4 linked regions of the Arabidopsis thaliana genome follow. The protein of the gene in region 4 interacts with the protein of the main gene of each other region in a pairwise test. Each region holds a gene or a part of one and is shown on either strand. Other genes may lie near its edges.

Region 1 (7,166 bases), on a different chromosome or scaffold from region 4:
GTACCACTGTCTAGTACGGCGCCATGTTCCCCGTCAAAGACTCTCGAATGAAGAGACAACTGCTTCCCAGCAACACGTATCCCCGTCAAATCTATATTGTAATATGGACTGTCGCCATCCCGAAACTAGAGTAAATGTGTGAAAGGTATTAAACGTATTTGTTAGGATTATACAAGATCCCATTCACCAATCAGAAAAAGCCATTCCCTTGGAAACATACCTACGATCAGGGTCCGAGTCCGTAAACACCATATCAGATGGATAATCAAAACCGCCAAGAATCATCGAACCACCACCAACATCCATCCCTCCATAACACAAACCAAAAGAGTTGCTTATCAAACCTTTATCCACCAATTGATCAACAAGACTAAGATCTCCTTGACCTAATCCAATAATCCCATCAGCACGTTGACTATAAAGATCACCGGTTTCAACAGTTTCACAACCGAAAACAGCTCGTTGAGGTGTTAGCTGGCTTTCATTGCCAAATGAAATAAGATCTTCTCCAAGAACACCTTTACTACTACTATGTTCAGCATACTCTCTCTCGTAAACACATTGTTCTCTATCATCATCACAATTACAATCCATGTTACACTTAACAGGTTGATAAGTGCTAGACATTTCTGGCTGAAATTTTGGGTCCTGATCAATAACCATAAGAAAGTTTCAAAATTTGCAACTTTACACGAGACAAGACACAAGATTTGGATATCTAGAGCCATCATTACCTGGTGTTTGCCACATTGTTCACAATCAGAACAAGGAACATAAGTAACAGTACTACCAGAATCAACTATAAGAGCAAACATTTGTGGTGGTGTACCAATCCAAAGCCTCGTAGTGTAATACCTACAAATACGATATAATAGTATATAAAAGAGACATCTTTACATGACCCAGATCGGGAAATATGGAAAAGGAGATTACCCATTAATAAGAAGATCGTCGTAGAGTCTCATGCGAGAGTGAGGAAGTGATTTTGAGTCGGATTTGTGGAGTTTTCGATGTGGGATTGATATGGATCTCGAAGAAGAATTTGGTTGAGAGAGGAACAATGGGAACACCATGGGACGTCGTGATCTAGCGGTTGGAGATTGGTGGAGGAGGTTGTTTTCACCAGCTGTGATTGAATAAGGAAGAGATAAATAGATTAGGAGTGAGAACGTCGCGCCGATTGATGAGATCGACGGCAGTGCCATTTGATCTCCGGTTGGATTTTTCGACCGTACCGTCGGAGAAAATTGGAGGGGAATCAAAAGAGCTGAGTGAGTGGAGAGAAGAGGGGAGACTCGAACGTAACTTTAGATCTACGGGAACCAAAAGCAGCTTTCTTTGAGACAAAACCCAGTTATTGAAACGACGTAGCTTTTGTGTTTTTAACGCATTTTTTTAACCTCTACTTTTTAACATCGCTGTACCAGTGTTTATTTATACTGTAGAATGGTTAAATAACATAAAAATCTTCCTACAATTTATTTGAAATCTTTGGCATGTTGTAAGAGATTTTACTCTATAGTAATTAAAAAGTATGTATTGTTTTGTTGTTGTCAGTTTTTTTATAGATTTAAAACGAAAAAAAAAAACTGATTTTCTAGACAATGTATTTATTTTTTGTAAGAATGTAGAAAGATTGATCTAATTTTTACGATAATTTCTAAATTGTCGAAAAATAATTATGTTAACAAAAATCCGATTTGACAGTAATTAATTTTATATAAAAGTGAAGTAATCTACCAAACCTATAGAAAAGGTTTAATTACTATCTATAGACTATAGAGTAAATCTCTTACAACAAGCAAAAGATTTTCAAATAAAAGGTTCGAATGTTTTCAAATAGATGTTAAATCTATACCTTTGTTGATTTTGATACTACATGTTACAAGGTCTCACTAATCATGGTTACTGTATAGCTCTATGAAAGGATTAACATGAAATTCATCTATACAATATGTAAGAATGTAGTTATCCTACATTTTGTTGACTAACTCAGTATGTCTCTTTGTATGATAATGTCTCACTAATCAAGGTTCAATTTTTAGATTTAGACTTGTTATAGATTTTGGTTATGAATCACCAAAACAAGTAACAAATATTTGAGATTTAAGATTATTCCATAGAAATTTTAATTCCTCTGTACATTTTGTTTTTGTTTTTAATTTTACCATAAACCCCAAAAATGAATGCTCTTGAAAATCCCCAATCGATTCAAGTTTTAACCCTAAACCAAAACTACTCAACCTTAGGTGTTATTACTCCACAATCCCTAAAACCACCATTGCCGCCGGATTCGTATAAACCTCCGACGACGAATCCACCACTTGTTTTCTGCATTTCCGCCATGTAACTCCTCACTTCAGCTTTTATCATCTCCTGCACCACCGTCATAAACTCACCTCTACGTCCTTCTCCTCTCTCCTCTACATTAATCTTCATCTGACTCTCAAATCTCGGAAACATCAACGCGTTGTTGTTATTGTTATGGCTCGAACTCGTGTTCTCAGCTCCAGGTAGTGACAAACTCAACGAAGTAGGTGGATCCTCCGAAGACGAAGACATTTCAACCGGTAACGGCTGCGGAACCACCGTAAAACCGCCGGAAATCGGCATTGGTTTAAACAGCTGAGCAACAGGAGACGACGGTGACGGAATCGTGCTAGAATCACTAACATCGATTCCGTTAGGACTCTCAGGACTCATGTACAATCCAGTATCCACCGGAGCAAAAGCAGAATCAAAGCTAACAGATCTCCTCTTCTTCGGCCGATCCTGATCTTCCTCCGTCTCCGTCACCGTCGTAACCGCCACACCTCCGCTGCATTTCCTCTTAAGCGTAGAGTTCCAGTGATTTTTAACGGCGTTATCCGTACGACCGTTAAGAAGACGAGCAATCGTCGCCCACTTGTTACCAAACTGAGCACGGGCGGTTACAATAGTCTCATCTTCCTCCGGCGAGAAAGGACGATGCTCAACCTCCGGAGATAACTGATTACACCAACGTAATCTACACGATTTACCAGATCGACCTGGAATCGATTTGCTAATCGCAGACCAATTCCTCGGTCCGTATTTCTCAACCATCCTTCGTAGCTGCTCATCTTCTTCTTGACTCCATGGACCTTTAACACGATCCGCCATTGAAACAGATCTTTTGTTTGTTTGTTGTAGAGAAGAAGAAGAAGAAGAAGAAGGTGGAGGAAACTGAAGAGAGGAGAAAAAAGGTATTTATAACAGAGAGAGAGATAGAGAGGAGGATGGATAATAACCGGTAACCGGTAGAGACGGTGGAGAAAGTCATGCACCGCTTCTTCCACGCAAGCGGTTTTGAAAGTTTTGGGATACAGCTGTAGGTGTACACGTGTCGTGATCTCGGTGCGTCTGTTTATTAGTTTATGGAGCGTGTGATACAGTCGAAAGAGAGAAAGGGGAAGCACGCGCGCGTGAGAAGAGAGTGGGAAAAGAAGGGAAGTTAAAGCGACAAAATCACGGAAACCTACAAGGAAAGAGCTCTGATATTATTCGCACAATCTGAGGTGAAAAATTAGAAAGCTGTTTTGAATGTTTATTTGAAAAATAATAATAATATCTGAGACGATAACGGTTAGGTTTGGCAGTTTGGGTAAAGACAGTTTTTTATGCAGATTTCTGACTTTTTTGACTGGACACGCCAGCCTGTATTCCTTGTTATGCAAATTTACCCTTTTCTCTGAAACTTTTTTCCTTTTATTTTATTTTGTAGAATACAAAACGACTAATTTGAATTTTTTTTTGAAGTTACATAAGGTTTAAAGTTTATGGGTCGGGAAATATTGGAGGATAAAATTTGATCACAGTGTTCTAAAAATATTTTTGTTTAATTTAAATGTTATTTTTGTTATTGTATTGTATTATTTTCAAATTGGATGATATATTTAAACAATAAAAATAAAACTGAAATTTTTGAAAATATAAATGTGTAGAAAATATAAAACGACATTAGACTGACACAAAAATTAAAATGCAAAACGACATCTAATTTGAAACGGAAAACGTATTAGATGTTTTTATAAAATATGTTTTGATTCGTTGAACTTGAAACGATATTCGTAACGCTTTTGACCAATAAAGTTTATACATAAAATCTGCATAGAATATAAAACGACGTTTAATATGACACAAAAATTAATATGCAAAACGACATTTAATTTGAAACGAGAAAAGTATTAGCTACTTTTAAAAAAGTATTTTGATTCGTTGAATTTGAAACTATACTTGTAACGGTTATGCTACGTTTTAATTATTCATAGATTTCTTTTTTTTTTTTTCTCGAGAATACAATACACATAATTTAAAATTTGTATATTTTTAAATTTTAAAGTAATTGCAAGTATAGAGCTGGCACTCTTGAAAGTAAAATTTTGATTACACATTTTTAAAAAAAAACATTAACTAATTTATGACTGGTTAAACAGTAATTGTAACAGTTTTGAGCGATGAAATTAATATTTTTTACTTCCTTTTGGTTTATCTTTCTAACTGAAAAAGGTTCAAACTGCCTAGTGCTACAAATTTGGGATAAAAATATTTGTATCGTTTATAGAAATGTGGTTCAGTTTTGTATGGTTTTTTTGTCTGTGACTATTTGTTAATGGTACGTTTTTGAATGCCCCAAATCAAAGTCATATAGTATTTACACAATACGGGAAACTACATTTATATGATTAGATACGATTAATATTCTGTTTCATAAACTTGTTACAAAGAAACGGCCACACAAGATAAAAGTAAGTGGTCGGAAAAATAAAAATAAAATTTGCTGACATGGACAACACGACAAAAGAGTGTTAGGCCAATTGGAATGTGAATGAAATCATATTTATTTATAATATATAGTTTTTGATTGACGAAAATCCAGGCTGTAATCCTCAACAAACAACTAACTGTCGTCCATTAAGCAAACTGCCACGTGTCAAATTTTTGGAACTGTTTTTGAAATTGTGTGTAACTGTCTCTTACGTTAGTAACGCACTAAACGTCATTTGCACCTTCTTCCCAACCTTCATCGAACGGTTTCACAACTTATTTTTTAATTTATCTTTTTCCGTATTTTATGTCGAATTAGTTACATACTAATTAGTCAAATTATAAACGGATTACCGAAACTATTTCAGTTTTGATGTTGTTGGTTTTCAGTTTACTGACCAAACTTTCCCTTAATTGTTATTTCTTTCATACTAATAATACATTCTAGTGACGAAACTAATATTATATGCTGTAATTTTGGGTCTGTAGAGATTACGGGTTTCGGCCCAAAACCTCCTAATATTTTAAAAAAATAAAAAAAAATAATAATAATAATACACTTAGTCTTGGTTATAAAAGTTAACAATATGTTTACTTTTATTATGTGTTCCACATTCTAACATGTCATATTTAAATGATGGTTTTCTTGGTGTATTTCTAATCGAAAACTTATCCTATTTAGGTTATATTATATGGGTTGAATTAGACTATAATATATACCATGTTAAGTTTTATTGGTTTGTAAACTAAATTGAGGATTTGTAAATTGTTTCGTGTTACTTTTTTTTTTTGTCGTAAATTGTTTCGTGTTACTTAAACATTGTTTAGATCTATTTCATTTCGGATCCAACATTTTATTTTGGGTCAATGTATAATTGACACGTACTTTTGCTGTACACTTAGCTAGATTTTGAAAGATGCACGTGAACATTTGGTGAACACATATACCTGAGAGACGGTGCACGATGTAGAATATAATTCCAACAATGTGTGTCTTAGAAACATTGTAATTAAAATATTGGTAATAGGTTGTTGTCAAAAGGAACAAGACGGTGCACGATGTGTGAATATATAAATCAAAGTATATCATTTGCTGTTTGTTGTTAATTAGGGTCCATGCTTCGATTGTCGGGTTTGTTCTCCTAATTTTTAAATTCATTTTTGTAAGGTTTGCCTAACAGAAAAACTCGTTCGATATATCTAAACAACGATAAGCTTTAAATAACATAAAGATCATAATACTAACACACGGTGGTAGATTAGTCGGTGTAAGAGGCGGAAAAACAAATATATGTTGACTGAGTTCATTGTATCATTCGAGACTTTCGAGTTATTTACCATTTAGTGGAATTTTATTTACAGGAATGAAAATTGTTATCTTGTCCCAAAAATATTCGTATGAATATGTTCTCTACACATATACAAATAATAAGTAACATTTAGGATAAACTGTATTCGTATTTATTAAGATATTCATGTTGTTGCCGTTAGTCATATTGAGTGTTAGTTGTTCCATTTAGCCGAGCTCTCTTGGTAGCAAGGGTTCGATACCATTCTCTTCCAATGTGGTTAAATGTGTAATTGTATAAAGTTAATTCATTTTTGTTACTTCTATTTAGAAAATAGATATAGAATTGTTATTCATAACTCACCGTAGACAAACTAAAAATTTAGAAAGCCAAATTGGAATATTCAAATTTTAGCATTTTAATATTCATTTGGTTGAGGAGGAAGAGCCACCAACCAAACCATTGAGTCTGATCATCTTGATATTATTGTAATTTATGTTTGTTTAATATGATCTTTTTAATTTCATTTAAATTAATATTATTGTTTATTATAATTAATGAAAATCTAAGAAACAAAAAAACTTTGTCTTCTTCGTTTATTCATCGTTCGACTATGAAAACAAAACATATCCAAAAAATCAATTGCGAGATTGATTGAAAAAACAAAAATCAACAAAAATATATATAAATAAATTATATCATATGAATTTATATTCAACAAAATTAATTACTTCGTCATTTTTTATAGTGGTGCAAACAAAAAAACTAGTTTGGAGGTTTAAAGAATTAGTAAAATTACTTTGATGGTTTATAAATGTTAGTAAAAGAAATTCGAGGTGTACCAATGACACTTTGAAGGTTAAAAATGTGATTTCTTCTTTTTAAAATCTCTTAAAGAACTATGATCTTAAAAAAAAAACTTATGGTTGTATGAATGTATTTCTTATTTTACAATGATTTTTAACATAATACATATATTTATTTGTGGTTACTAAAGTACAAATTTTGTTTTGTTATGACATCATACATCATAATAATGTGCAAGTTAAATATGAAAAAAAAAAAAGAGTTATACATGACTAAATGTCTCAT
Region 2 (7,496 bases), 3.6 Mb from region 4:
TATGCATTTCTACTAAAAACGAGCATGAGAATCAAATAATACGCTAAAAGTAAGATCAGTATCATACCTCACCACCAAAATCTGCGTGACCAGGTGTGTCTACCATGTTAAGTTCGTTGTCCTTCCAAAATATTGATGTCACCTGTCGGAAAATTTGACATAAACTTTAAATGTCGTGTAACGTGGTGATAAATAACAAAATCTCAGGGAATCGGTAAAAGAACACATCAAGTTACAGACATAACAGAACAAACTGAGAAAAAAAAAAGAACAGAACATAAATATGCTTTGATAGAGTCTCAGAATCATTTTCAAACAGAACCATTTTCAAAATTGTGAAGTAACAATTAACTCTAATTCCAATCCAAACATACGAAAGGCGATACCTTTGAAGAAATAGTGATCCCTCGTTCACGCTCAAGATTAATAGAATCCATAGCACGCTCGTGAGGGATATCAGCACCACACTGACGAAGAAGCCTGTCCATAAGTGTTGTCTTCCCGTGATCGACATGAGCTATCACAGCCACGTTTCTTAGTCGATTAGGGTCAAGCGAGCTATTAGGAGCTCCGGCTGCAGCTGTGGAAGCGGTGGCTGCTGAAAAGGAGCGTAAGGAGGAGAGCGAGTATCCGAATTTGGAAGGTGATGAATGAGAAGAGAAGGATCTTCGAGTGGTGTTTGACCAAAGAGATCGAAGCAAAGGCCCCGCCATCTTTGTTCACGCGAAATGGTCTCTGATAGGGTTTTAGATCTAATCTCTGGTGACGATGACCAAAGGGTTTTTGGTCTAAAACTGTTTGGAATTTATTTGATCGTTATTTACAAAATAGGACATTATCACTTGTAGAATCTTATATTTTCCCTATACTTTTCAATTGCTTATATTACTCCCACAGTCCTATTTGATTATACAACCATGGCTTTTATAGTTTTATGTAGAAATTAAAACCTCTCATTATGTGATATTCGGTTTTTCCATTAATAATAGAAGTGATTCCGATAAGTTGATACATATAGCGAAGATGAACTGAGAATTTGACTCAGCTTATATGGATGAAGTGGTTTACATATTGTTATGTAATATTTGTAGGACGAAAAGGAGAATTCATGATAGATTTTTGCAAACTTTATAAATCTATTTATGATCTATCCACAAATGTTCTTAGAACTCTTTATTATTTTTTATTTGAGATTTGATAATATTTAATGTTGATCATATATATTGTATTATGGTAAAGTTTTGTTGGTATTTTGGTTTATGTGGATGATACCATATGATATTTTGGTTCTTTTTTGTAATTGACAATTCGGCTATTTAATTACTTCCAACTCAAGGATCTTGGTCATCTTCGGTACTTATCTATTTTGGAAATTGTTAGATAAAAAAAAAACCATTATGTTTGTCAACGCAAGTTACATCTTCGAGATGTTGTCTGATAATGTTTCTTTTGGTGGTAAACAAGGTCAATTCTCATATGCACCAAGGGACATATAGTTCATAAGATTGTTTGTTTCTTAAAGGAAGCATTGGACAAAGCTTGTTTTTACTTTGCTGCTCTAGACCTATATATTTGAGGTTTCACTGCTTATGACTAGGCAAGTTATCCACAATTTCGTATGTACTATGTATCTTGGATTTTATGTTCAATGAAAATTCATCCATTTCATTGTCTATCAAAGCTAAATACAAAGTTATGGCTCTTGGAATTTGTGAACATGTTTGGATTGCCTATATTATGTAAATATATATTTTGGTTTTATATTATGTAAATATATAAAGCATGCTTCTTATGCTCTCTCTGTGTACTCTACAGTGACAACACTTTAGCTCTTCATATTGCTCGGAATCTTATTTTCACGAAAAAAACTAAACACAGAGACATATATTTTCATATTGTTTGGCGTATCCGATATAGTTTTATGAAGGGTGTTTGATTTTGATTGTACCGGTTTGCTCTACCGCATTCCTGTCTGTTGGTTTAGGTTTGTTGGGTTACACTTACATATAGTACAATCCTTTTGTAACAAAACTGTAGATGGAAGTTGTAATCCTTTTGTTGAACTCTTCTAATAATCCAAGCACAATCCATAATCAAAAGGCCAAAGTAGTCATTCTCGCAGTAGATGACTTTTAAAAGTACGAACATTCTGTAGCTTTTAACGTCTTGTATAAAAATGATGATCATCGTTGGGAAAAATATTAATGATCATCATGTGACAACAAAGTACAAACTCCTTTAACCTAAATATATTATCATGTATTTCATCAAACCAAATATATGTACATATATATATACTATATGTAAAAGTGCCAAAAAGTGATAAATGTCATTCTCTATATAGCCCGCCTATCTATATGACTAAAACAATTATTTCAAGATGAATTATAGAAAAATCTTCTGTCAAACCCAATTAGACCAAGTAAAGCAGACTAAACTATCGAGATCCTTTGGTATCACTGTCACAAAGCATTGAATACTCAATAGCAACTTTTTCATAAAAATCCCAAATTTGTAATAAATTTGACTTTTCTATTAAATAGTCGCAACTTTTTAGCAAGCTAAGCTATATTACAAAAGAAAATTGGTATCTGCACAGATGATAATGAACACCTTTTTCTTCATTACTCATGTAATACGACCTATGCTTTTAACGTTCTTCAATTACTCTTTACTTAACCGAAGAAATAGAAACCGCAAGTAAAAACCAGAAAATTCAAACTCACTCGTAGAACAAAAATATGAGATTACAATATCCCAGCCTAACGCCAGTACTAAACCAAAACACACATAAAACCCATCTTTTCAAATATCACAATCTTGATGATCAATGCAAAGATGATAAGAAACAAACAAGCAAAATTGAATAATAATAACAAACACTAAATGAGTAATAATAGTCTTGAATCATAAATATATGGATAGATGGTAATACTAATTAATATAGCGCTTACTCTAGCTCCATTCATCACATTAATTTCCTCCTTCTTGTTCAATGCATGTCATCATGAATTTGAACCTCCATGGTTGTCTGAAAGAAATACATGTGGTAATTTAATTATGAAAGATTTAATTATTGTCTGGTTTCTTGATTAATAACCTATTATACTTAAAATATATAAATACATTAAAAAGAAGAAGCAAACCTTAGTTTAGAGGTGTGAGTTTGGAGGAGAAGAAGAAGAGTTTGGTTGAGTAGCTTCTTCTCCGTGGAGTAGTCTTGTAGTGTTGGGGAAACTAAGGCCTTGCATCATCATCATCCCATGAGAACCATACTGTGATGATGAAGCAAACATCGAAGAAGCTTGATTCTGATGATGATGATGATCCGACGTCGTTTGATGATGATCCCAAGAACGAAACGAATGAGGGAATAAACTGGACTGAAGGGTACCCCTTTGTTGTTGTTGTTGTTGGCCACCAAGAAACACTTGTTGTTGCTGACTATTAAGCAATGTCATCATCGACGGTTGATGATGATGATGGTGAGGATGATGATTCACCATGAAACCACCATTACTCCTTTCTTCTTGTTCTTGTTGTTGATGTTCTGATGAGGATGATGACGTCATAGTTAAGTCGTGATGATTCCATCCAGAGATTCTCCCGAACGTGTCGAAATGAGTCGTGGTGAAATTGTTGGTCTCGGGAACTACGACTGTGTTGTTGTTCCCTTGAAATGGGTGAAGAGAGAGACCAAGATCTTGGCTAAGGTTTGGTGGTGGTGTTGTTGTTCTTGAGACCATGTTGTTGTCATCCTGATGAGGGTAGTTTTGGAAATTGATGTTTGTACCACCACCACCGTTTGTTGTTGTCGTCGCCGGGAAAAACGTTTTCATTGCGTCTTCAGGATCAAGATTGGCCGCCACGAACTGCGTTTGGTCATTGTTCTCTCTTTGGAAAACCAAAGTGGGAGATTCCGGTTTAGTATTCACCGGTTCTTGACGAGTAGTAGTAGTAGTAGTCTCCCCGAGTTCAAGCTTATCAATAGCGGTTTTGGCTTTCTTGATGAGCCAATCAACGGCTTTGCTAGGCCGGTCATAACCTAACCGGTCTTGCACATCGTAGAATTGAATCGCCGTGTGAGCTGAGAGTCTCACGCGCCGGTCACGTGGACCCTTTGATGTGAACACTTTGCTATGACGGTCTTTGCGTCCAGTGGCTCGGATTATGTGACCGCCTTGAACCTCAACTATCTCTCCTCCTCCTTCTCCGACGCTATATCCTTTAAGTCCCATTATTTTTTTACCTTTCAAAATGACATTCCAAGAGTTGTTTTAACTTGGAAGAAAAACTTGCGTGCCGTTTTTGTTGCCCACTTGCTTTGTTTACCTCTTCAAAATGCTTGCCGTTTTGTTGTTATTGTGGTGTTTGGTGTGTAGTGAGTTAATAACATCTGATGCAGGCTGGACACAGCTACCTGAAAGCTGCTACAAGAAGCAACTCTTCTATGCAGATCCCCAAAAGATCTGCCATGGCAGTCACAAGATTCAATGACCCAACATACCCAAATCAAAAAAGGGAAAAAATGAAGAAATATTTAGAAGAAAAGAGATTGGAATCTTTAGTCTAGGGTTTTCCCAAAGAGATGAGAATTTGGACAACAAAATTGATATTAAAAATAAAAGAGCGAGAGAGAGAGAGAGAGAGAGAGAGAGATGCTACTTTAATATATTGATATGTTTAGTTGGTCTAAAATCGAAGGACAAGAAGAAGAAGAGGAAAAAAAAGAGAGAGAGTATACTATTAGATTGTTGGTGGAAAGGATAGCAGAAGTTAAGGGTTCAGAATAGGAAAGTAAACTAAATAAATACCCTTTTGCTTTCAACCTTTTGTTCCTTATTATAAGATTCCTATTTCACATATCAACATGTGTCCTTGTTAAGTTCTTAGCCACATATTTGTTTATTTCAAATTTTTTTGTTACAGAAAAATTCCTCAATCATTATTCTTCAATCATGCGTGCCATATCGAATTCTTGAAACATACATAACTATATATATCATATAATAAGGAATATAGGAAAATTGAAAAACATCAATAAATGAACATATATCATATCTTAGTTACACCAATTTGTAATATTTTGTTTGGTTAATGTCAAATCCTCCTTCACTAATTAATTAAAACTTGAAAAGCATATGTTTCACACAACATACACACACATTGGTCGGCTTAGGATTACATGCTAATCAAAGTCGACAATGGAATAATTTGACTCTAGTATGATTTTTTTTTTTGGTAAGCTGAGGGGTGGCAATTGCCTACCCCAATTTATTAAGAACAAACTACAAAAAATTACAATAAAACAGCTCGAGGGAACTCTGTTCCATTAACATCTGCGAGCAAAAGTAAACGGACTCCCTCTGGGCATGCATCAAAACAATGAAGCCCTAGCGGCAAGGTAAAGGCATAGTTTGCTAACCCGTCAGCGAGACGGTTAGCTTCCCTATACACGTGTGACACACGGACTAACCAGTCCCTCGTAAAGAAGCCTTGGCACAACCGTACCAGGAAGGACAGCGGATGAGCGTTGCTTACCCCTGTGCTTAAAAAACCCACCACCAACTTGCAATCCAAGTCTAACTCCACTCGTCGAAACCCCTTGTCCCACGCAATGAGCAGCCCATAGTAGGCGCCCCATAACTCGGCTAATGGCGCTGCACAAGATCCAATGTTTAGTGCAAAACCACCTAGCCACTCCCCCTGCCCATTCCGGATGGCCCCTCCTGCCGCAGCCAGCCCGTGATTCCCACGGGACGCTCCATCCGTGGTAATTTTCACCCACCCATCGCTTGGAACCTGCCACCTGATCATTCTTTCCACCCGCACACCATTAGGCCGGTTACCAACAGCACCAACATGTACTCTCCTCACCTCCTCCGCCATGTCTTTGATGAACTTCAGCCTGTCCCGACAAATCTTTCGTTCCCCAAACACATCACAACACCTCCACTTCCAAGCCCACCAAATTCCCATACCAAAAAGAGTAGGCCAAATCCCCTTTACTGGATCCATATTTGTAAATAACCACTCCAATAAAGACTGGCTAAAAAACTCATGATGTCGTCTCAGTGGCAGCAACCGACGCCAAATCGGTTCCATAGCGGGGCAGTCACGCAACACATGGAGTATTGTTTCCTCGGCTCCATTACACACCGAACATATAGCATTCTCACTCAAATGGCGCCGGACTCTCTCCACATTAGTCATGATCACATTCTGGCTCACCAACCAAATAAACACCCGTACTCTCTCAGGCGTGATCAGCTTCCAGATTCTGTTAAAGAAGCTCCCCATATTCGGCCTGTCTCCAACGTCACCTTGTAGGAGGGAATACGCAGAGCGGACTGTGAAGGCCCCATCCTGTGTACCCTTCCATGATATCTCGTCTCCATTACCCAGAAAAACCTGAACCACAACCGAGAGCAACCGCCTCTTAACTGTCTCTGGCAGATACAAACCCAGAATTTCCAGGTTCCAACCTGATCCCGGCAACCAATAATCGGCTGCCACCTTTATTCTCTCCCCCTCCGGTATCATATCAGTCCCAAGCTCCACCAACGGCTCCTGCAACAGCCAGCGATCCAACCAGAACCTTATTGTGCACCCATCTCCAGGCACCCATCCAACGCCCTTAACCACCACTTCCCGGAGCCCTACTGCCACACTTCTCCACGTGGAGGACCATCTTGGTTGTGGTTTCAGCCAGCTAGTATCTTGTACTCCACCCACTTTGTACTTTTTGCGAACAACCCGTGCCCATAAGCTCTCTTTATCTTGAAGCAGACGCCACCCCACCTTGGCTACCAAGGCCTTATTCATATCACGAGCAGACCGTAATCCGATCCCTCCCTCAGCTTTCGGCTTACATATCTTACGCCAAGATAGCAAGTGTTGTTTTTTCTTCTCCATAGTACTCCCCCAAAGAAAAGTTCTGGAGTATCTATCCAAAGTATCAAGCGTAGAGACCGGTAAAAGAATCGCACTCATTACATGAACCGGGATAGAAGACAGAACCGCTTTTGTCAGAGTGATTCTCCCTGCCAAGCTCAAAGATCGGCCCTTCCAACCCGCCAACCGAGCTGAAACTCTTTCCAACACTTCTCCAAACGTCTCCTTATTCATTCGTTTCTGTAAGATTGGCATACCCAAATACTTCCCCAGCTCTTTAGTGCAACCAATCCCACTCTCTTCACTTATCAATTGCTCCATTTCTCTACTCACATTGTGAGAAAAAAATATTTTCGACTTCTCTAGGCTGACTTTCTGTCCCGAGGCCTCACAGAACCGTTCCAACACCCGACGAATGATCCTAATTTGCGCTACCGAAGCTTCTGCAAAGAGAATCAAGTCATCTGCGAAGCAGACATGTGACAACTTCGACCCCCCACATGACACTGCTATCGGTTTCCATTCTCTCTTTCCAACTGACGCCTCTATCAAATGACACAGTCTCTCCAAACAGAGTACAAACAAATACGGCGACAACGGAT
Region 3 (9,409 bases), on a different chromosome or scaffold from region 4:
GCCTCTCTATGCTGTTGCTGGTGGCATTGGAGTCTTTATCAGTTGGGTTTGGTCATTGCTGCTTGGCTCTTACGCCAATGAGATGATGAAAGTTTCGGTTCACATCTTAACAACCTATCTAGCTGTAGTTAGTGTACTATGTTTCTGGTGCAGACTGTTCTTTTGGGGCGGTGCATTCGCTGTTGGATCTCTGTTGCAGTTCTTGTATGTTATTTCAGTTATAGACAGGTGCGTCCGAGGTTGAACTGGTTGAACTATGACTGAACCCCTATGGTCAAATGGCAACAACTTTTTAGTTCTGATGATTTGAGTTGTTCATGTGTAGACTTCCTTTCACAATGCTGGTCCTACGGAAAGCGCTGAAATTAGTCTGGGGACTTCCTAAGGTGATAATGGTGGCACATGCTTTCACAGTAGTCATGCTTTTGTGGATGTCTCTATGGTCTTTTGGAGCAGCTGGTGTTGTGGCATCGAGCATGGGCGATGAGGGACGATGGTGGCTTCTTGTGGTGAGCTGGCAAGTTTTGCATTTTTACTCACGGTTTCTGTTTTCTGCTTTAAGTGTCTGAAAGTAAACATGTTTAGAATTCACTCAATCATTGGAACATATAATATATATGCAGGTTCTTTCGGTTAGCTTATTCTGGACAGGCGCTGTGCTATGTAACACTGTCCATGTTATAGTTTCTGGGATGGTGTTTCATGTTCTCTTTCACTGTGGTCAAGAAGAGTCATCATCGTTGCCTCCTAGCTCTTTGGTAGACTCACTTAGGTATGCCGTGACAACATCTTTTGGGAGCATATGTTACGGTTCACTCTTCACTGCTGCCATTAGAACACTTCGCTGGGAGGTAGTCTCCAGCATCCTTTGCTGTTCGTAAAACATTATCATTGCTCCTCTTGTTAATAACATTAGTCTGCAACTTTCTTTTGCAGATAAGGGGATTCCGGTCCAAGATTTGTGGAAACGAATGTTTACTTTGCTGCGTTGATTTCCTGTTTCATCTAGTTGAAACACTAGTTCGTTTTTTTAACAAGTATGCATACGTCCAGGTATATATATAAATATAGACAGTTTTTAAACAAGCTCATCATCTCCCTCCTATGAGCAATGAGACTCAGAATGAAAAAAACGTTTGGTTAATTATCAGATTGCAGTGTATGGAAAAGGATTCAACAAATCAGCAAGAGACGCATGGGAATTGTTTCAGTCGACAGGTGTAGAGGCACTTGTTGCATATGACTGCTCTGGTGCTGTACTTCTGATGGGAACCATCTTTGGAGGACTCATCACAGGCTCTTGCATTGGTATATGGGCTTGGATCAAGTACAGTGACCGAGTTATAATGGTTGCATCTACGGCTATGTTGATGGGAATGGTTCTTGTGAGTTTTCTTTTGTGCACTCTTTTAGTCACCCAAAAAATTACATGACCAACTTGTTCACTTTGTTTCATTGATCCAATGTGGTGTTCAGGTGGGTTTAGGAATGGTGGTAGTCGAAAGCGCTGTGACATCGATATACATATGTTTTGCTGAAGATCCTTTGTTGATTCAGAGATGGGATGCTGATTTCTACACTGAGATGTCTGAGGTGCTTCACCGTCGTCTCCAACATCGTAGCTCGCGAGCCCGTGAAGTTTTGACGACCGCTTGATTAGCCTATGCCTCCTCTTGGAAAATAGGAGATATAACTGTAGAATATTATGCTATTAGAGGGTGCTAAAAGCGGGCTAACCCTTGTGGCTAAAATTATTTTGTCAAATGATTTATGCTTTCTATTTGTTGAATCATGAATAGGAGGCTGTGGGCGTTTGTATCAAAATCTAATGTATTGATTTTTGTGTTTATTAGAAAAACAAAATCAATTGAATAGAACAAAGTTGATCTAGAGGGGTTGGATAAAGTTTGAAACAAGAACTAGTCAGAAGACCAAACATAGCCACACGCATTTCACTCTATCTCAAATAGTTTCACTAAGGGAGTAGTGTTAGCATTAGTAAACTAAGAAGAATGTATAAGGTTTGGAACAACAGAAAGTGTAAAAAAGGTAATACAATTTTACTAACAAAAATAGTTGCAGTTCATAGCCAGCAACCAAAATGGCGTTTTACACAAACAAACCAAATAAATTGCAGAGAACACGAATAATAGAAACTTAACTTAACGATCATACATATGAAAAAAAAACAATTCAGGATTGTGCTGCTGTGGAACCATCGATGGAATTAAGTGCTTGATTTGCAAAATAACGAACATCAACATCAGGGTCTTCGCTCAGGTCCACCAAACACTGACGGATTGTTTTGTCCACCACCTACAAATTTTTGACACGGCAAAAACATTAAAATTCAACAATTTCCATTAGTTTTCGATATAACTGAGTTATGTTTGTTATGATCGTACTGATTGGTCGACTATGGGGATGAGGGATTGCAGAAGTTTGGCAACGTTGAACTTGATGTTTGGAACTCTGCAGAGATAAGAGGTGTGCAACAACAACACATTAAAAACTAAGAAGTGTTCTTAAACTAGTTTGGCTTATTCATATCCTCTAATCTATCTATTGTACCTGTCTTTTGATGCTTCAACAACCACAGGAAGAAACTTAGAGCATGTGATTTCTGATCCCATTACAGGCGCCATGAGAGATATTGCGCGTAGAACCATCATCCTGTGTAGGTAGTGCGGATTGTTGACCATGTCCAATACCTGTTTATATGATAAAGGTCAATCTGGAGATCTCAATATTTGCAGCTTTAGTGATATCCAAAGAAAAGGGACCAAAGCTGGAGATTAGATGTTATAGGTGAGGTACTTGACATAGATCAACAATAAGATAAACAGACAGATGGTTTTAGTATAAAATGCTCAAAGAATACCTGGGGAACTAAGTGCTGCATTGCCCATTCAGGACCAAACTCCTCTGCGAGGCGCTTTAGGTTGTTTGCTGCAGCTTCGCGGATAGAGTAGACCTGAAGGAGGAGAACAGTGTCAATATCTACAATAACAAGTGAATGAGAAATTTATGCAAACATCAAAGATTCAAGGTAAACCTTGTCTTGCAGCCATTGCATGCAAAGGGCTCCGAGCTTGTCATCGAAAAATCCTATACCTAACTGGCTGGCCAACAGTGGAACATACTCTATTATTGCAAGTCGGACTCTCCAGTGCCGATCCTCAGCAAGTTCTACAATGGCCGGTAACAAGGATTGAGATAGTAGATCAATTCCAATAACCTGCCGTAAAAGATAATTCAGTCACCAACTAAATAAGGAAGCAATAAAAGTAGTATCTAAAGCACACAAGAGAGATGCAACAAACCTGGTTGACTTGATCTAACTTGCTTATGATGTTAAGGCGCACATCAGGAAATTCATCTTTCAAAAGGGAAAGAAAAATTGGTAACAGATGCTCAATGGTTGAGTCCTGTATTGAAAGATTTTAGTATGTTAATAATTTTTTGATAAGGTCTGCAACACCAGTTGGGGCTGGTATAACCACGCCATAACACAAGGTATGGCTGATTTTGTTGATGAAAACCATAAAACAAATTAAATCTCAGAACATTGTCACAAGATGCGAAAATGTTGGCTATCTTCAGTTCATACCTTCCCAAGGATAGGAGCCATCCCCATTATTACTGAAGCTAGAGCAGAGCGGACATGTTGAGAAGAATCCGATGATAATTCCTGCCAGACATCAGTATGTATCAGAATATTACGAGACAGGGGACATCAAACAACTCGTTTATATAGAATTTAAGGAGTCTTACCTTCACACAAGGAAGGATGTGCTGAATCGCAAGCTCTGGATTCAAAAGCCGACAGAACTTGGTCACTTTTCCCGCTGCTGCTATTCGCACTTCAGCCTCATTGTCCCTTAGCAATCTCACATATGCTGGAACCAAATCCGTCCTAGAGATATTATAACATAAATTGTGTCAAAATAAAAAGATACATGTACAAACATAGAACTACCATGGAAGGCTCTTATATGAACGAAAAAGAATAAAGAAAACTTCCAATAGACGCTCTTAGATGCATATTTGTTTGAAGGTCACAAAACTGTTTTACGAGAACGAAAGCCTAGATTAGCAAGGATGACAAAAAAATCAACAATGTCACAAAACACATACCTCGTGCAATCAGGACCCACTGCCTCACAAAGTTCATATAGCTGATTAGCAACCATGTAGCGCACCCTCCAAGATTTATCCTGCTCTCAGAAATCAATACAAACACCATAGAAAAACATCAGAACAGCAAGCTTTTACCGATGAAAATTAAACATGGAACAGCAGACAATTAACTGAAAAATCCATGAATGAAAAAAACAAAGCTCAATTCACCTGAGAGAAATTAACAATAACAGGTAAAATGCGTGCAACACAATCCTGAGGTTCCAACAACTTTCCAAGAGCTGCACACCCTTCAACAGCCAATAGTCTCACAGAATCTTGGTCTGAAATGAAGGTTAAAGTTTAACCAATATAAGCACAGATAAAACAAACATTTCTGAAGAGGTAAGTATCCAATATATTTCATCAAACAGCGTTTATTAATTCAAATGTGATCTCTTTACCATACTCTTGGGTCTATGCAAACTATTTCTAAGTGATGAGCACATATAAAGTACGATATATTCAAACATTAAGTACCATCTTTAGTAAGATCATCGAACATAGTCATGATCTCAGCAATCAAAAAGGTAGACTCGACAGTTGTAGCAAATTTCCCCAGGTTAGATGCAGCAGCTCTTCGCACCATTGGCATATCATCTTTGCACAACTGGCTATAAGTAGCCCGTAACTCAGTCTTCAACACATCAGTGCAACCTTGGTATGCAACATGAAATATACCACATGCAGAAACTCTTGCTGCAAACCATTCACCACCCGCTAACCTCTACAAGACAAACAACAAAACAAAAAAAAAAGCTTTGATTGAACCAACTAACAAAACGGCGTAATCTAGTGCTACATAAATCTCCTAAACTAACCTTCACAAGAGGAACAAAAGATTCAACAAGATCATTCTCTTTCATCTGAGATCCAATCTTACAAAGCGATTCCACAGCTTTTTCTCTCACACAAGTCTCTTCAACAGTACATAGAGATTCCAAAGGAGGAAGAAGAACATGCGCAAACTCAATTCCTCCAACAAACGGAATAAAAACTCCTAACTCCTCAGCCATTGCAAGAAGCACCTCATCGTCATCGTCACTATTCTCACTCAAAAAAGGGATTAACTCCTTCCTTGTACGCTCCTCTCCAAGAGCACGAGCTATAGTAGATAAGCGACGGATCGAGTTCAAACGAAGCTGAATATCATCATTCTTAAGCTCATCTATAAGCACAGCAATGGGATACAACGGTTCATCTACCATAGCCATCTTATGTGAAAGTTCGAATCAAATCACTGCAACACCAAAAATAATTCCTATGAGCTCATTGCTATAAGAGACGAAACAATAGATATTTTCGGATCTCGAATAAAATATTTAGTAATAAATACGAGAAATCATTTACAGATCCTGGGAAAAAACAATTATAGCCACTCGAGTGTTATCTTCGGCTTTATTGATTTTTCTCTACTTGCACAAACAGATTAAGACTATACTGCAGATTTTGAAACGAATCGGGTATGAATAAAACAGAAGAAGCGAGAAATGGGTTCAGATTCACCGGTTCGAAGTTGGATTAAAGGGAATGTGAATCGGAAAATGAAGGTTTAGAGATGAGATCTTATGATTCGTTAAGAAGAAACTGGAAATCAACTTACCGATCCAGGCGTCGGAGAAGAACTGCTTCAGATTCCCAGGAGCGAGAAAAGGTGAGAAAGAGGAATTCGCGAGCGAGAAAAATAATATTCTGCGTTTGATTTTTTTTTACGAAGGATTTATTAAAGGGAAAGATATAAAATGACGAAAGTGTCTAATTGGGCCATTTTGGGCTTTCTTAGGATTGGGTTATGTTGGGCTTTAATCAATTTTTTGCTTTAAAAAATTAAACAGTTGATTCAATTGATACAATGAAAGAAAAACAAAACTTTCCAATTGAGTTTATGACTTTGCCAAAACAAAACAAAAAGGAATTAGGAACTTATTTCAAGACAGCAAACAAACAAAGCAATAATGTATATAATTTTCTATACAAAATCAACTATATCCCTGGAGCTGAAGCAGCTACTGAGTCTGGTCCAGAGTCCAGCTTTTTCTATATCCGTGTCTCGCTAACTTGTTCTTTGAAATCGGCTTTAGTGCTTAGTTCCTCATACGCGTTAACAATATTTTGGAGCCTTGCAACAAACTCGATCAAAAGAGACGCAAATGTAGCTAGCGACAAAGAACTCGCACTTTCATATACTTTGGATTCTATCTCATTGATCATAGAACCGCCTATGAAAGAGACGCTTGGCCAGTTTTCGCGGTTCCTAAGCATCATACTCTCTGTTGATATCCATAGCTGAGAATCATTACCAGCGTGTTGATTCTGATGATGAGGGTTGTTGTTATTGTCCCATATCTGGCTGAGGGATTGAATCACTTTAGACTCGTCGTCTTTGGCTTCGTGATAGTTTTGTTGCGCTTCTTCAGCTTCGGCTTTCTCTTTCATAGCAGCCCAGCTTTCTGAGTTGACAAGTAGGAAGGAGTTACTGTCTATTTTCATCTGTAGTTCCTCTGCTGCTCTTTGAACATCCTTGAGAACGTTCCCTGGGCTTAGCTTCTCCATTTTCTCCACCTTTTCTCCAAACAACCTCAAGACTTTGGCTCCTTCGTTTCCAACTCTTTGAAGTTCTTGACGAAAAGCCTGCCTTTTTTCTGGAGCTGCCTGCAAATCCCACACCAATTGATATCACAAGTCTTATAGGGCATACGACAAGCATTGAACTCAAAGAAAACCATTCACTAGTAACAACAGTAAACTAGGAGATCCCACTTTGCACCTACTCAACAATTATATGACAAATATCCGACTTCTCAGAGTAACAGTCTAGTTAATCACGAAGAGGTACTAGTAGCATTTGAAGCAGGTTGGTATAGTCTCTAATAACCATTATAGCACCTCATTTGCTATGATAGATAAAGTTGTATTTAACAAGAATATGGTAAGTTACCTGAATTTCCGAAAGAATGCAGCCATGCATTGCCATGACCATGAAAGCGCAGTGCCTTACTGCGCCACTAAGTTTGACGTAGTTTGCCCATGGATGGTGGAAAGTCTTATATGGTCCATGTGGAGGCTCCCATACTGCAAAATCAAGCTGAGGAAAAAAGAGGTCATCGTATCTTATCATCTAAATCCTTTTCAAGTTATCTAGTTGCTGCTCAACAAAAGTGTCCTAAGGAAAACACACCAGAGAATCTTCTTGGCTCGTAGATTGGACTACAGACCTGTATCCACTGTATAATGGATCATCCGAAGCTTGGTAAGTGAGAATCTTCGAAGGAATCCTCTCGTATTCAACACATTGCAAGTACCCATTAACACATCCTGAAAGTTTTAGGAAAGCACAAACAAAACAAGACATAAAAAAACAGCCAAAACCCGAAACGAAACAAGAGAAAACAGCCATTTGACGTATCTCTCTACCTTCAAGTGAATTGGCCACACTTTTGAAATTCTTAACAACTAGTTTATGGAGGTCTTCTCCAGCCCAAATGGGAAGTATAAATATGTTCACACCCAAACAGATACCAGCACCAACCAGGATAAGCAAAAACCTATAATAAGCAGTGCTAAAAAAATCTCTAGAGTTGTTTCCAGACACAAGAACAATACAGTATGTCAACAAAAACACCCTGAATGCATATTCATACGACTTCATCGCCGGGTATAGTTTCAAATAACTTGCAGAAAAACCTGATAGACAAACCAACAGATTCACAAGTATCAAAAATAAAGTTAGTATGTTTATTTAAAAAAGGTTCATTTCTAATAAAAATTGAGAGAAATAGTGCAACCTGCAATGAAAATACTGATAATGATAATGAGTTCTTCAAATTCTCCAGCTGAAACAGAGAGTCTAGCTATGCCAAGAGCAAGTCCTCCAGCAGAGAGTGTTCCTATAGCTCTATTAAATCCTTTGACCAATGTTGCTCCTTCAAAAAACAGAGTTAGAGCCAAATTAGATCTCTGAAGACAAGTAATCCTAAGACAGATCTAATGAGAATTTAGATCGAAGAAGACGAAAGTTTTGATTTTTAATCAAAATCCGGAAGATTTGATCGAACAACAACAACCCCAGAATCGATCTGAATCTATAGAATTCGTGAGTCACAGTACCTATACTATACTCAAAGACGACGACAACAGTAAGGATCGCCCAAACAGCATACTTGCTAGCGTCACGGAGTGGTTCTTTAAGGTAGATGACGAAAGAACAGAGTGCGAGAGCCATCCCCATCTTAACGGAGAAGTAAACTTTCCGACGATCGGAACGACCCATCTCGTATAATTTAGCACCGATGTCGTATAAAGCTTTCCAGGAAGCAGTGATCCCGTCGGAGCAAAATCGGAAACACCGGAACTTGGAACGACGGTCATCGATGATGTTTGAATCATTGAATCCGAAATCTGAGCAAGCTTTTCGAGAGAGAAAGGCTTCTCTAGTTTGGTCAGCCATTTGCGTTGATTTCTTCTTCCAAAAGATCACGATTTCATAAACTGAGAGTGAGATGAGATGGTTCGATCAGATGGATCCCACTTTAGAAGAAACCTTAATTATAGTGGGGTCCTGTAATGAAAAGGGGTGAATCATGTTTAGAAAGATTCCGAAGCTATAAGACAACATATAATTTAATTAGTAATAGTATATGATTTTCATTTGTAGAGCAAAAAACAACATGATTTGGCCGTCCATAAAAGATGTTTCTTGTTCTATATGTATATTGTTTCTTACGAAATTTTAAATATTTGAATTTGAACTCATTTAAAGAAATTTGGAAGTAGTCAAATCATAAAAATTTGTATTTTTAAGGACATTGAAAAGTACGATATTTTTTCTTTCTTACCAATATTAGGCATATCACAATTTTTTTATTTTATTAAATCATTGTTTTGCTAAAAAAAAATCAAGCAAAAATAACTATCAATTGAAGAGTAGAGTTTAAAAAATAGTATCACTCATGTTTTTTTTATAATTATAACATTTATTATGTGATGTATAATAGTGTATAATTGTTTTGTGGTAAGATGAAAAAAAATCGTTTCAGTCTATTAATTCATGTTTTGCTGTCACCATTTGAACAACAACACCATTGTAAAAAAATTGCAATCACAGATTCACAGTTCAGGTTTTTACCGAATTTTGAAAAAGTTATTGCATCCGCTCTTTGCCTTCATACAACAGAAGCATCTTATGTGTGGAGGACTACACTTGCATAAAATACCAGTAAAATTGTTCTTC
Region 4 (7,340 bases):
GAATTTTATATTTTTGGTAGCAAACCATGTATATAAACCTAATAAACAAATAGTAAATCGACGTTTTCATTAATTTTAAAATCGTATTTGATAATTTTCAATTACTATATAGAAGATTTTTATCCGCGTTGATGTTTTCAACATTACACACCACTCACACCGAAATGCTTCCAAACCTAAAATCGTAGAAGTTAAAATCATGGACGAAAATATCTATCCCCAATAAACTTTAAGGAAGGAGGCGGTGTTCTTCACGTTACATTGAATTTGGTTTGCCTTTTTCAGACACACTCATATGTATATATTGGATAAATCATCTATTTACATTTTATAGCAAACTTTATATCTTATTCTAATTAGTTAAAGTGTTAGATAGCCCAGCTAAAGACTATATGAAAATACGAACTATCTCCGTTGCTTTTTAAAAGTAATGCATATTATATCACAGCTATGTACGTTATCACAATCTTTTATGCATGTTTATTTGGATTTGAATTATTAAGAAACTAGTTAAATAGTAGTAGTTTATATGCAACATGCCACATTGGAATATACAAACCCCATAAATCGTATCTCTCTGGATTGGTCAGAATTTTCATTTTTTTGACACGGGAATACATATGTTTTCATATGTAAATAAAAGGGAAAAAAATTTCTTATGGGTTTATAAAATTAAAAAAAATGTGAAATAAAATATAAGTAATATAATAATAGTGATCAGAAATAGGAAGACAGAAAAGAAAATAAGAAAGGTGGGTGGGTTTAAATGTCATTATACAAACGACCAAAAGAGGGAAAACATTAATAGCCTCCTTGCCAACTTGCATATCAACTTGCAATTCCTTCCTTCCACGACAATGTTTACATATATATTTCGTACTCATTATGATAATAAATTAATAATCATTTATGTAATCAATTTGATTTTTCTTTAACCTTTTTTTTATTTATGGAATATTTTTTAAAGGTGTCAAAGAATAGTAGCGACTTTTTTTTTTTTCCTTTGCAACTTGCATGCTTTGTTTTTTTTCTATAACAAGTTGGATTTTATTACACCCCAACTTGCATTTTACGTACGATCATATACATGAATGTCTATATATGTATTCAATTTTGAATTTGGTTCACAAGTCTCGAAATCTTACTACTTAATTATAAAGTAACTAAACACATTTTGCTTTTGCAAACTTTGAATGTCTTTTCATCTTGTTCATTGGATTCTTTATATTTATATAACTAGATAAAGTTATTTGATTTTTCAAATGTACATTTTTATTCATGAACTAATATATAGGACAAGGAAATCCGAAAAAGTAATAATTTTGACATTTGAATTATTGAAACGGTTCACGCATCCCAAAACTATAAAAGGAACTAAGAAATTTTATCATTTTGGTATGTAAATAATTTTGATTTATTTTTTTGGTGAGTAAAAACAAAACATTTACGTATTTATGTAAAGTTTGTTGATGAAATGACAAATAATTTGAAAATTTTACGTTTCCAAATTAGGGAATTAAAGATATAATGCTGTATTACCTGACACCATTTATTTTGGCCTAGCATTATATATGCCATAAAGAAAATTCTTAAGATTATATCACATAACTCAATACATGCATTACGCCTTGGTTCAAGTTTAATTATCACTAATTGATATTATTCCATCTTTGCTTTTAGGATTGAACGCTTTGATTATATAGCTGGTGAGCAAATTCATTTAAAACACCAAGTAGTATTCTACTGTTTATACATTTCAATAAAATTCAAATGATGTATAGTTTTACTTTGTTCTTCTCTTAACATAAAGGAAAACGAATCATCTCAATCAGCACATGTATGGGTTTTCTGATTGCCCACAATTGTTCAGATCTCTTCATATATAGTAGATATGCCAATGATTATATTAATCAAATTGTTTGTGTAATACATTATTATGTAGGTTATCAAAATTAATGAAATTAGACATAATAATATCGGAAATATCGTAACAATATACCCCATGCATTATAGCTGAATCACTATATAGTCTATATTGTTTCATGATTAACTAAATTAAAAGACAAATAATAAATATGTAAAATACGGCGCAAGAAGAAGATTATGAAAATAACTAAACAATCAATGTTTATATAATAAAGCTACGAGAGCTGTACAAGAAGAAATGGTTTTAAGGGTAAAACCAAAGTATCGTTGAGACATACATTTAACAGACCCTAAAAACCCTAACTTCGAAAAACCAAAACCATCTTGTTTGATATAATTCTTGTTTTTTGTTTTAGTTTCGAAAAATCCCCGACGATAGTTAAATACTTAAATCTTAAAATCCAAAACCACCTCGAGAATCCCAAAAATAAAAGATAAATTTTGAAAGAGAGAAATATAGAAAATAAAATAAAAATAAAAAGATTGAAAAAATGTAATTACGAGAATTTAGAAGTGTTCTCGGCGAGTTTAGCCAGCGATTGCAAGTTGCACCGTACTATAGTATCAGCAAAGCTACAAGTCTCTTCCTTATCGTTACCCGCCGGTACGTCAACGACGTATGACTCAACGACACGTGTCCTCTTCTTGCCGTCGGAGTCCTCCTCCGACTCATGCACCGTCGTCACCGACTTGTAGTTCATGAGTCTGTGGTCCCCACCAACGACGCTGAAACTGATGACGTGGCGATCATCGTCCATGATCTCAAGCCGCTCTAAGCTAAACGCCGCGGGGAGACCAGAGACGACTCTGACCTCTCTCACCGACCCAACCTCTCGACCGTCTCCGATAACCACGTGGCAGCTTTTCACGAAGTGTTTGTACGCTTGAGGGTGTTCGAAGCGGCTTAGGATCGACCAGACTGTGGAAACCGGAGCCTCCACGTCTTGTACCACGACGGAGAAGCACTGAGAAGGACCAACCACGTGCGTGTGGGAAAGCTCCACGTGCTCCGGCACATCAGCCATCCCGCGCGTGAGGCTCACTTTTTGAACCTGTTTCTGATGGTGGTGGGGATAGTTTCTTACGGTGGCGTTGGCTGCTTCTGCGGCGGTGGAGGATCTCTGAAACTGTATCGACGTTGGCATTATTAAAGCAAATCTTTTCTCTATATCTCTTTTAATATTCTTGGCTCTCTCTAAGAAAACAAATGGTTTTCTTCGTGAGGTTGTATTAATGAGAGATATTTACATGTAATATACAGAACTATATAAGGACAGAGTGTTTATATATAAAAATGCAAGTATGTGGATTAGGAAAGAGAGTTAGTTTGTGTGGGTTCTTCGGTTGTCCACTTGGGATTTGTTTGGAGTTTGTGTACTGCTTCAGTTAAGAAACGTCTCTCTCTTTCTTTATATCAAGGACCGGCCCGGTTTCCCATGAAATTCTACGGACTGGTTCTCGATATTTAATATAACCGGTTATTAAATTTTAATTTTGTTTTTCCTTGCTTTGTTACTGAGGCTGTCTATTTGTCAATGGTGCTATATATTTCACCAGTTTATTACAATGAATGAGCATGTTGTCGTAACCACACAAGCATTACTATAATTAGAATGGACGTTTTTATGTTTTAACCAAAAACACTCTTGAATGAAAGTTGAGAAAATGAAATCAATATCATTTAAGATACCGAGAAAAAAATTCTGAACTCATCTCTATCTCACCGATTATATCAATATTCAGAATATAAAAACATTGAACATTATCTTTGAGGTTTTGCATAGATATTTCAATCTTCTACTGTCTCGAGGCTATATATATAGCTAACTCTAAAACGTTATTAAAGATTATAAGAACATGATCACTATGTGTCGAGTTGGTTAAGCTATATATATTGGTTAAGAGCTATACTTAATTTATGCATAGGTTTGAAAAAATTCTTGAAACAAATTGGTTGGGAGGACCGACCTTTGTCTTTGTGATTGCCGATCTATTTTCAGTTGGTACTATTCTTGGATGCGTTTTTGGTGGATTTTTAATTTTGTTGGAACCTTCTGACTAAGGTAAAAATTTCAAAAATAACTCCATAGGACTTTCAATGTTCCAAGTTGGTGAAGATATCATGTCATGGGTCCATCATAATAATCTTTCCTCATCTTGTAATCAACTTGAGCCTTTCGACGATACTAAAAAAAGTATTAATCAAATTCCTTTTCAACAAAGAAAAGAACAGAATATTAATAAGACGAATTAGAAGAAAATCAAACTAAGCAGTTTGCTAAAAGTAACCAACGTAAAGTCAGGGAAATTTACGAATTGGACAATATTTCTTGGGTGTGTTTTCTTCCACAAACGTATATTCAAATCATATGAATATATTGGACTCTTGGATTTGAGTGGTGGGCATAATAACAAAACACAATTGGGAAAAATAATAAAGGGTTATCTAATGCATTAGTTTTTCCAACAACTATACATATTCCCAAGTAGCCCTAGTTGTTAAGATTAATACGAATAAGCGAGCAATTTGCAGTACTAATTATATCTGACATTTTATAGAATAAGAAGGACAAAAAGTTACAATTTGCTATTTTTTGCACCATCCTCGATATAAAGATTGCTCATCTTATAAGCTTTCGGGTTAGGTGACATAATCACTCACCAATATATTACTGAACACAAATAGATTACAAGTTGATGTGGAAAATGTATTAATATTACGGTGATACATTTTTGGGTTCAAAGAGTCAATCTCAAATCAATGCATCAGACGTATTTTGTTACAACAACATAATTTGTGCCAACTTTTTTTTTTGTCAAAACATGTATTATATATCCAAGATTTAAATTCCAATGGTGAGATAGTGACAAACATTAGTATAAACAACTCGACTCCATGTCATTATTATTTTTGTGCAAAAGCCGGTTGTTTGTTTGTTTGTGAATATTTCTCGAGAAATAAATCTCCAATATGCATAAAATATTATTCCACCTAAAATTATTAAATCCCCAACTATGATTATAAACAAAATGCACTTAAAATTTCAAAAATAAGTATCGAAAAAATCAAAGATAAGCTTAAATTTCGATAGATATTTGAATGAATCAGATTACAACGTGATATTAAGAGAAGATTATCGATCAAAAAGTAATTAAAAGGAGAAATTGTCCAAAATAGTTGCATCTCATTCTTGCGGAGAAGAGGACACATTGTCAAAGGGAACTTGTGGAGGTGCAATACCCACCAATTCATTGGATTTAATTAATTAACAGTTTGCCAACTTGATTTCTTCATTTTTCTAAAGGCTTAGAAGATCTTCAAGATTCGAGCAAGAAAAACGATTTTGGAGACCAGAATGGAATAGTTAAAGCCTTTTAAATAATATACAACTATGTCCCATTTGCACTTTCAAATACCCAATTTGCCTTTTGTAGAAAATACAGATAGATAACTCTCTAATGATAACTTTATTATTCATACCTCATTGCTTATGTAATCTCAGACAACCTGAGGAAAGTCTGCAGACCAAAAAACTCCACTACTGGATATTTCCATTAAACTAAGCCAAGTTTCTTGAATAATCAAAACTTGCCAAGTCAATAAAACCACTACGCAACATCGCATTATTCCATCTCCATTCTTAAGGATGAAAATTAGATGTGAGAGTATCCAAAGTTCAAAGATCAAAACTTTATAGCTTATATGCATCCGAAGTTCAAAACTTTGATATGTACCGAATGTTATAAACTTTTTCTAAACCCAACGTTTGAACTTCTTCATATGTCATATGTATTCACAAGAAAAAGAAAGAAGGAATCATATTTGAACTTGTCCTACATTACCTAACTACATGTACTACGTCTCACAACCATTAATATCAGAAAGTATCAGTAGCTTCAAAGAAGGGCAGCTTCTAGCTAGTAACAGCTACACCGTCTCGGAGCAGAATCACAAACTTAGGCCAGTCAAACGAAATTTGAAATCTTATGTAGATCCATGAACATCTTTGTCTCCTCCAAAATCCAAGTCCTGTATGTCAAGATCATTGAACCTGCGATGGTCTAAATCAATACCATAGTTCTCCATATCACTGGGCTGCACATAAGGACATCCATAATCAACTCCTGGTTGAGCAATCTCCATAGGGTTGAGGCTCCCGAGCAAGTTAGAATTTGGAAACTGCGTTTGGTAACTGAAATTTGGGTGTCTATCCACTTGATACTGCATTGTCTCTTGACCAGACACATTGTTGTCGTTTAATATACCCAATAGCTCATTAATATCAAACGTTTCATCCACACCAAACTCCAATGGTTCTTGTTCATTGCCATTTCCCATCAACCAAGCATCCAAAGTCTCCCTTTTCGAGTCCTGTCCAATTCCAAAACCAACAGCCAAGTTATGTTCTTCCCTCACTTCCTCTTTTCCTTTCAGCTCCTCTTTAATACACTGAGAACTATCTAAGAGAACATATTCATCGCTACAATCCTCTAGTTTCACCTGACCAAAACCTGAACTTGCATTTGTATCCTCACGTGCACAAACTTCAGATTCATCAGAAAATGCAGTAACCGAGCCTGACACAGTGGCAGTGGCAGCAGTCGAAGAAGAGCGATTTGTGATCTCGGGAAGATTGAGTCTGGCAGACTGACCATATATAGCTTTGGCCGCCTCGTCATAAGCCAATGCAGCTTCATATGAACTGGAGAAAGTACCGAGCCACAACCTAGCACCTCCGTCTGGCTCACGGATCTCAGCAACCCATTTACCCCATCTCCTCTGTCTAACTCCTCTATAGTCACAAATCCCGTTTTCAGGTCCACCTTTACCTTTCATACAACCCTTCCTCGAACCTTTTGGAGGAGGCTTTCGGATTGATTTTGGACCACCACCATCGATACAAGATTCTGCCTCAATCTGCTCATTGTACTCTCTCCATTGCCTTAGAATCTCAGCTACATCTCGTGTTCCACGAGACTTCCTTTTCCTGGTAGAATCAAAGGGGATAGAAGCAAGATTAGCAACATGCTCGAGAACTCCAATTTTCTCTCTTCACAAAATTTCAAGCAACAGGTTCAACTATACTTCGGATCAAAGCACCTTTCAAAGAAACAATTTTTAACCACCTGAACGTAATTACACCGAAGTAGCTACAAGAAGAAGTTTTCATAATCTGCAGCATCACAGCGAGCAAGAAAGAAACTCCATCACGAACAGATTAAGAAACTAGAACAGAGCAAACTCAGAAACAGAGAATCACCTAAAGATTCAACATAGAATCCATAATCTAACTTCTGTATCAGGAAAGGTACCACCTTTAACGATTATTTTAGCTAAAAATCCTCTAATTTCCAAGTCTCTTAACCACACACGAACTAGAATCCACAAATCGCACAGAACTCAATCCAAAAGA

What was found.
Region 1: the proteins of PYL6 (region 4) and MYB77 interact in binary tests that used the Arabidopsis thaliana proteins (3 or more experiments, as listed by UniProt).
Region 2: the proteins of PYL6 (region 4) and TCP10 interact in binary tests that used the Arabidopsis thaliana proteins (3 or more experiments, as listed by UniProt).
Region 3: the proteins of PYL6 (region 4) and RCN1 interact in binary tests that used the Arabidopsis thaliana proteins (3 or more experiments, as listed by UniProt).

Annotation. Positions count from the first base shown.
Region 1 is NC_003074.8:18,555,911-18,563,076, forward strand, and holds MYB77 (myb domain protein 77), read right to left. Parts: upstream 3,417-7,166; 5' UTR 3,142-3,416; coding exon 2,236-3,141; 3' UTR 1,697-2,235; downstream 1-1,696. Other genes in the region: AT3G50050 (Eukaryotic aspartyl protease family protein), read right to left, coding at 1-108, 221-648, 735-855, 934-1,205. UniProt on the Arabidopsis thaliana protein: Transcription factor involved in auxin response. Functions in auxin signal transduction and modulates lateral root growth. Interacts with ARF response factors to promote auxin-responsive gene expression.
Region 2 is NC_003071.7:13,217,832-13,225,327, forward strand, and holds TCP10 (TCP domain protein 10), read right to left. Parts: upstream 4,779-7,496; 5' UTR 4,239-4,778; coding exon 3,153-4,238; 3' UTR 3,147-3,152; intron 3,032-3,146; 3' UTR 2,647-3,031; downstream 1-2,646. Other genes in the region: EMB2785 (elongation factor family protein), read right to left, coding at 68-142, 375-713. UniProt on the Arabidopsis thaliana protein: Plays a pivotal role in the control of morphogenesis of shoot organs by negatively regulating the expression of boundary-specific genes such as CUC genes, probably through the induction of miRNA (e.g. miR164). Participates in ovule development.
Region 3 is NC_003070.9:8,947,684-8,957,092, reverse strand, and holds RCN1 (ARM repeat superfamily protein), read right to left. Parts: upstream 5,932-9,409; 5' UTR 5,783-5,931; intron 5,420-5,782; 5' UTR 5,394-5,419; coding exon 5,001-5,393; intron 4,907-5,000; coding exon 4,660-4,906; intron 4,464-4,659; coding exon 4,351-4,463; intron 4,218-4,350; coding exon 4,138-4,217; intron 3,917-4,137; coding exon 3,775-3,916; intron 3,692-3,774; coding exon 3,611-3,691; intron 3,429-3,610; coding exon 3,324-3,428; intron 3,239-3,323; coding exon 3,056-3,238; intron 2,975-3,055; coding exon 2,882-2,974; intron 2,712-2,881; coding exon 2,572-2,711; intron 2,473-2,571; coding exon 2,406-2,472; intron 2,317-2,405; coding exon 2,194-2,316; 3' UTR 1,933-2,193; downstream 1-1,932. Other genes in the region: AT1G25500 (Plasma-membrane choline transporter family protein), read left to right, coding at 1-228, 326-509, 624-851, 937-1,053, 1,152-1,385, 1,477-1,656; AT1G25480 (aluminum activated malate transporter family protein), read right to left, coding at 6,217-6,831, 7,118-7,264, 7,358-7,494, 7,594-7,863, 7,965-8,102, 8,287-8,626. UniProt on the Arabidopsis thaliana protein: The A subunit of protein phosphatase 2A serves as a scaffolding molecule to coordinate the assembly of the catalytic subunit and a variable regulatory B subunit. Seems to act as a positive regulator of PP2A catalytic activity.
Region 4 is NC_003071.7:16,842,754-16,850,093, forward strand, and holds PYL6 (PYR1-like 6), read right to left. Parts: upstream 3,442-7,340; 5' UTR 3,072-3,441; coding exon 2,424-3,071; 3' UTR 1,835-2,423; downstream 1-1,834. Other genes in the region: DREB2C (Integrase-type DNA-binding superfamily protein), read right to left, coding at 5,912-6,914, 7,054-7,097. UniProt on the Arabidopsis thaliana protein: Receptor for abscisic acid (ABA) required for ABA-mediated responses such as stomatal closure and germination inhibition.